2 linked regions of the Tribolium castaneum genome follow. The protein of the gene in region 1 interacts with the protein of each later gene in a biochemical or structural test. Links are inferred from orthologs where the notes say so. Each region holds a gene or a part of one and is shown on either strand. Other genes may lie near its edges. The genes, in order: alphaCOP and epsilonCOP.

What was found.
Region 2: the proteins of alphaCOP (region 1) and epsilonCOP form a complex in vitro, tested with the Homo sapiens proteins (3 studies listed by BioGRID, with this or other methods). The link is inferred for Tribolium castaneum from reciprocal best matches to the Homo sapiens genes COPA and COPE.

The regions. Positions count from the first base shown.
Region 1 is NC_087403.1:711,297-715,128, reverse strand, and holds part of alphaCOP (coatomer subunit alpha), read left to right. Parts: intron 1-757; coding exon 758-905; intron 906-959; coding exon 960-1,227; intron 1,228-1,282; coding exon 1,283-2,251; intron 2,252-2,301; coding exon 2,302-2,512; intron 2,513-2,570; coding exon 2,571-3,832. UniProt on the Homo sapiens protein: The coatomer is a cytosolic protein complex that binds to dilysine motifs and reversibly associates with Golgi non-clathrin-coated vesicles, which further mediate biosynthetic protein transport from the ER, via the Golgi up to the trans Golgi network.
Region 2 is NC_087397.1:2,371,825-2,375,024, reverse strand, and holds epsilonCOP (coatomer subunit epsilon), read left to right. Parts: upstream 1-1,401; 5' UTR 1,402-1,460; coding exon 1,461-1,562; intron 1,563-1,608; coding exon 1,609-2,055; intron 2,056-2,115; coding exon 2,116-2,340; intron 2,341-2,397; coding exon 2,398-2,535; 3' UTR 2,536-2,624; downstream 2,625-3,200. Other genes in the region: uncharacterized protein LOC103315197, read right to left, coding at 57-1,082. UniProt on the Homo sapiens protein: The coatomer is a cytosolic protein complex that binds to dilysine motifs and reversibly associates with Golgi non-clathrin-coated vesicles, which further mediate biosynthetic protein transport from the ER, via the Golgi up to the trans Golgi network.

The sequences.
Region 1 (3,832 bases):
ATCATTACACCGCGATAGTTATCGCGAAAATTTTCCTCTTTTTTTATCGGTAAAAGTTTACATTCATATTTACGGTTATTAATCATGTATAATTGTAGTAATTTAGAGTTTTATATAAACAAAAAACCCGATTTTTACAAAAACTTTTTTTTAGCTTGAGTCTAACCTTGTGTAAAAAACATTCGAGGTGTCACTGATATTGTCCAAAATAATTAATTTGTTTTAATTGAGTGTTACGTTTATGCCTACTTATGAATTTCCGTTACTCATGCGTTACATTGTTTCATAAAAATAATATTTCAAATTATTCATAAAGTTGTTAGGACAACTGATATTTCCTATCTAGCGATCAAACTTTATTCGTAACAGTTTTTTAGTTTTTAAAATCGTTGCTAATTTTATAGTAAAAGAAGGTGAGCAAGCGGTTATTATTCTTTATTGTTTTTCCGATAAGTGGCTCAAGTAACAGAATTTTTGGAAATCGATGAAGTACAGTATGAAGAAAGAGAAGAAAGTGACCTTTCCTTCTGTAGATCATAGGACAACACGAGATGGCCAACGCCCAGACCACATCTCTAATACCAGATTTATTTGGCAATTTACTATTTAGATAATGAAACAATAATGATCTACATTTTACATATCCTCTTGCTCCATAAATCATCACATTACTAAATTCGACCTTTTACGATTTACCCACAATTAAATATTTTGCAACGTTTAATAAATTGTTTTTTTTTTCTTTTTTCTAATTCAGCTTGCATAATGGATCCATTCAACTTTGGGATTACCGTATGTGTACTTTACTTGAAAAATTCGACGAACACGATGGACCTGTCCGAGGCATTTGTTTTCATAATCAGCAGCCATTGTTCGTCTCTGGTGGTGACGATTATAAAATCAAAGTATTCGTTTGATTTAATATCAAATTCCAATTCACAACTAACGATACTGTTTAGGTGTGGAATTACAAACAAAAACGATGCATTTTCACCCTTCTCGGTCACCTCGATTACATTCGTACTACAATGTTCCATCATGAGTACCCTTGGATTGTCTCGGCTTCCGACGATCAAACAATTCGCATATGGAATTGGCAAAGTCGGACTTGCATTTGCGTCCTCACCGGACACAATCACTACGTCATGTGTGCGCAATTCCACCCTTCTGAAGACCTACTTGTTTCCGCTTCTCTCGACTCGACTGTCCGCGTTTGGGACATTTCTGGTAGATTTTATCATGTGATAGCGTTCTATAACGCGTTCTATAATTTTGTTTTAAGGATTGCGGAAAAAGAATGTTGCTCCTGGACCCGGAGGTTTGGAGGACCATTTAAAAAATCCCGGTAGTACCGACTTGTTTGGGCAAGCTGATGCCGTTGTCAAACATGTCCTCGAAGGGCATGATCGCGGAGTAAATTGGGCATGTTTCCACCCTACTTTACCACTCATTGTTTCCGGGGCTGATGACCGCCAAATTAAATTATGGAGAATGAATGATTCCAAAGCTTGGGAGGTTGATACATGCCGTGGCCATTACAATAACGTTTCGTGCGTTTTATTCCATCCTCGTCAGGAACTTCTTCTGTCAAACAGTGAGGATAAAAGCATCCGGATTTGGGATATGGCCAAGCGCAACTATTTGCATACATTCCGAAGGGAACATGACCGGTTCTGGGTATTGACAGCTCATCCCAATTTAAATTTATTTGCGGCCGGTCATGATACAGGCATGATCATTTTCAAACTAGAGCGTGAAAGACCGGCATACACCGTACATAGAAACTTCCTCTACTACGTTAAAGACCGCCATTTACGCAAACTTGATTTCAATACGTCGAAAGACGTTCCTGTACTTCAGATTAGAGGTGGCGGCAAGACTCCTGTTTTTAGAATGTCATTCAACCCGGCCGAAAATGCCGTCTTGTTATCAATACGGTCTTCGAATTTGGATAACAGCACTTACGACTTGTATACGATCGCGAAAGAGTCGGACCGTGATGATCAAGTCCCGGAAGCCGAAAGCAAAAGATCATCAGGATTGACAGCGATTTGGGTCGCCCGAAATCGGTTTGCCGTCTTGGACAGGTCACATCAACTTGTCATCAAAAATTTGAAAAATGAGGTCCACAAAAAGGTGCAAACGCCACCGTGTGATGAGATTTTTTATGCTGGGACTGGAATGCTACTACTGAGAGATCCGGAACATCTGACTTTGTTTGATGTTCAAAGGAAACGGACTCAAGATCAAGGTATTAGTCATCTATCGTAACTGTCGTTTAGTCTATTGTGATTATTTCAGTTAAAATCAACAAATGCCGCTATGTTGTTTGGTCTCACGATATGAATTTCATCGCACTATTGGCTAAACATACAGTTACTATTTGTAACCGAAAGTTGGAAGTATTGTGCTCCCTGCACGAAAATACAAGAGTCAAGTCAGGGGCTTGGGATGATTCGGGTGTTTTTATTTACACCACTAGCAATCATATTAAATACACTTTGATCCATGGGTAATTTTTTTCTATAAAAAAATTTTAATGTAAAATTAAATTCTGCTGTTTTACTTAGGGACCATGGGATCATTCGTACTCTCGACTTGCCTATTTACATCACTCGAGTTAAAGGAAAGCATGTTTTTTGCTTGGACCGTGAATGCAAGCCTCGTGTCCTAACAATTGATCCAACAGAATACAAGTTTAAATTATCACTGATTCACCACCGCTACGACGAAGTCTTATTCATGGTCAAAAACTCGCGTTTGGTTGGTCAAGCAATAATTTCGTATTTGCAACAAAAGGGTTACCCTGAAGTGGCCTTGCACTTTGTCAAAGATGACAAAACTCGTTTCACTTTAGCTCTTGAATGCGGTAACATTGAGATAGCACTAGACGCGGCTAAAGCTTTAAACGATAAACTTTGCTGGGAGCAGTTGGCACAAACCGCTTTGTGGCACGGTAACCACCAAGTGGTTGAAATGTGCTATCAACGAACCAAGAGCTTTGAGAAATTGTCATTTCTTTATTTGATCACCGGAAATTTGGAAAAGTTGCGCAAAATGACGAAAATTGCTGAGATTCGCAAAGCGCGCTCTTCGCAGTATCATGGCGCTTTGTTACTTGGTGATGTTGAGGAAAGAATAAGAGTTTTGAAGCAGTCAAACCTGACGTCTTTAGCGTATTTAACTGCTGCAACTCACGGCTACGAGGAAGAAGCTGAAGAGTTAAAAATTTTGATCGGAAATGAGAAAAAAGTGCCCGATGTGGACCCCAATGCAAAATTCTTCATTCCTCCACCTCCAATTCAACAAGCTGAGAGTAATTGGCCGCTGTTGACAGTCAGTCGTAGCTTCTTCGAGACTAACGCAATGGTCCAAGCCAGTTCGAATATAAAAAGTTTGATGGTTGAACCTTCCACTGAGGCTTTGGATGAGGAGGTCGGTGGTTGGGGTGACGACGATGAGGAGATTGACGTGGACAACGAACGTAAGTCTGACGATGCGGCTCCAGCCGATGGTGAAGGTGGTTGGGATGTTGAAGACGCCGATTTGGAAATTCCTGATTTGGGGCCGTCGCAAACGCAACAGTCAGCTGAAAGTTTCGTTCATTTGCCTACTCAAGGGCCTAACCCGACACTTGCATGGACGAAAAATTCACAACTTGCGGCCGATCATGTCATGGCTGGATCATTTGAATCGGCTTGTCGGCTGCTTCATGACCAATTAGGAATTGTCAATTTTGAACCGTATGAAAGTATTTTCATGTCGTTGTATAGCGGATCTAGAACTAGCACAACGTGGCAACCAAACTTGCCATCCAACTTTACGTATCCTT
Region 2 (3,200 bases), on another chromosome or scaffold:
AAAAAATTTATTTTTATTATTATGGTACAAAAAATGTAAAGTAATTTCAATCTTTATTAGATAACAGAATTTTCTGCCAATTTTTCGAGTTCCTTCTTGTCGTGCTCCATATTAATGATAAGTTGTTTGTAGTTTTCTGTGAGCTCTGACAAGCGTTGAACCATATCTTTCATATCTTCCTGTAACAAAGTTGGTATTTGGAAACGTTCCTTTTCAAGGAACTCATTTAAATCATTGAACAACTGCAGCAAATCCAAGTCGGGAGTATTTTCTTTATCAAGTTCCAGTTGATTATCATTCATTATGACATCCAGGAGCTCGTTTGCTCTCTCACACATGCTTTTAATATTTTCCATTTGTGCCATTTTTCCTTGCAACTTTTCCAAATCAATTGATTCGAGATTTTTCTTTTTCTCTTCGTCTAACGCCTTGGTGACTTCGGCCATTTCCTGTCTTTTAATCCTCTCCACTTGCTCCACAATTCGCTGGGCTTCTGCAAATGCCTCTGCCGAGAATTTGTGGAAGTTGGTGGCAGTTTCTGACGTTCTTTTTTTTATAACTGACGTTGTTCTATTCAAGTTTTCTATAATTATTGCATTAACGGCTGGATTTTTACAAGGTCTGATGGGAGACAATAATTTGCCCTCTTTCATGTTCTTTTTTAAATGCTCATGCAAGACGAACGTCGACAATTTAAACATGAATTTGGCCACCTTTATGCCACCAGGTGAAACAAAAAGAGATGGCATTAGCTTAGGAATGTTCGCCGCTTTGTAATTTTCATTCAAGTAATCAACAAATGCCACCACCTCTTGTCTAAACTCTCGCTCTCCTTTGGTGTCGTATGGGGGCCAGGATTTGAGCTTTTCTCTGGTCAACTCAGGACTTAGGACATTGAAAAGGTAGTTGGTGACTTGTTGGAAGGCTGCCTTGTTATTTTTTTTAAACATATCTTCCCTGAAAACCTCATGGAAGTCTTGGGTTGGTGGATAAACATAAGTTAATTGCTTAATGTTTGCGAAAAGTTTCTCGTGGATTATGGCTTCGTAACCTTGCAAATTTATCACAGAGAATGACGCCATTCTGTGCTAAAACAATAAAATTATTCAAAAGTGAAGATTATACTTAACAAATTGTATCTTACAAAGAACAAATAAGCTTCAAAAACACGACTTTTTTAAACTAAAGACCAGTAACTTTAATTGACCACGACCAACGTCAGAAAAATAAATCACCAGACGGACGATTTTTTTATTAAAAACAGACGTTTTTTAACTGTTTTTTTATTTTAATTGACACACAAGTTGGGAGGAAGCTTAAGTTTAGTAAAAAATTTATTTTTGTGTACGTTTGTTTGACGAATTTCCGAATTATTAAGCAGCAAGGCCGCCAATATACACAGCATAAAAGCCCAGTTCGTTCCCATTTAAGGTTAAGTTTCTGTCAGTTTGACGTTCAAGATGTCGCGTCAGCAACACGACGACGAATTATTTGAAATAAAAAACTTCTACTACATTGGAAATTATCAGCAGTGCATAAATGAGGCACAAAAACTGCGCAAGGTTTTTACCACTTTTCCATAATTAGCTTGCTCAATATTTTTTCCAGCCCTCGACCCCCGAGGTGGCCATCCAACGCGACATTTTCACCTACCGCTCATACATGGCCCAGAACAAATTCCTGGTAGTGCTGGACGAAATCAAGCCGTCCTCACCCGAGGAAATCCAGCCCTTAAGACTCCTGGCTGAATATTTATCCTCCAAACAAAAACGCGAGTCTATTGTCGCCCAAATAGACCAGAAGCTGGCCTCCAACGTCGAAAGTGACACTCTTGCACTTGTGGCCGCGACAATATACGTTAATCAGAACAATCTAGAGACGGCATACCGCGTTTTGCACGCGTCTGAAAGCTTGGAGGCTTTGGCTTTTATTATTGATATTTTGCTGAAGATTGATCGCGTTGATTTGGCCAGGAAGAAGTTGAAGGAAATGCAGGAGAAGGACGACGATGCCACGTTAACGCAGTTGGCACAGGCGTGGGTCAATAACGCGAGTGTAGGTCGCAAAATTATTAATAATTAACCACTAATTTGTGTTGTTAAATATTTTTTACAGGGTGGGGAAAAGCTGCAAGACGCCTATTATATCTATCAGGAATTGGTTGAAAAATATGGGGCTACACCTTTGCTGCTTAATGGCCAAGCTGTGGCTCTTCTAGGTCAGGGGAAGTATGAGGAGGCGGAAGCTGCTCTACAGGAGGCTTTAGACAAAGATGCTAATTATCCAGACACTTTGATCAATCTTATCGTTTTACATAAACATACAGGGAAAACGCCTGAAGTAATTGATTGTCAAATTGTTTGTAACATTTTTTGTTAATTATTTTCTTTGTTTTAGATTGCAAGTAGGTATTTGTCTCAGTTGAAAGACGCTCAACCAGATCATCCATACATTAGAGACTTAAAACAGAAAGAAAGTGAATTTTCAAGGATTTGTAAACAGTATGGTCCTTCAGTTTCAACCATTCCGACGTAAAATGTGTGAAAAAGTTATTATTTGCTGTAAAAAAATTATATAACGTTTAAGTTAATTGTATTACATGAAAAATAAAGCCCATAATCAATTATAGTTTTTATTGATTTAAACCCAATGATACATCCACATTCCATAAACGTAATTCGTTTTTTCCCAAAACAATCCGAAACCGTTGATATTAAAAAAAAATGACTAAAAAAATTGAAATAAGTCAGGAGTATTAAAATATTCGGTGACAACAGTTATTGCAAAAGAAAGTTCCAAATACGGCTACAAAGTACAAAATAGAAAAAATGTGTACTTACTTTTTTGTTTTTGGCATCATTTTAAACTATAAGACAATTAATTTCCATTTTCTGCAAGCAATAACCGTCTTAAATATTCCAATGTTGAATTTATTGTTAAATGTTTGGTACACCATAAAACTCAAATTGGTGATTTTTTCAACAAATTTCTTAAAAAGTAAGCCAATAAACCACATAATTATGTCAAAAAGGACATTATTTTTGCAAGTTTTGAGAATTTTAAACCGAAAATAATCTTTTTTCCTTATTTTTATTAAACTAGAACACAACAGTCACCAAATTTGGTCGAAAATGACCAAGAATTTACCTTTTCTAAGCGTTTATTCAGCAAAAACTCGCAAATTTTTTAAAAAAGTAAGC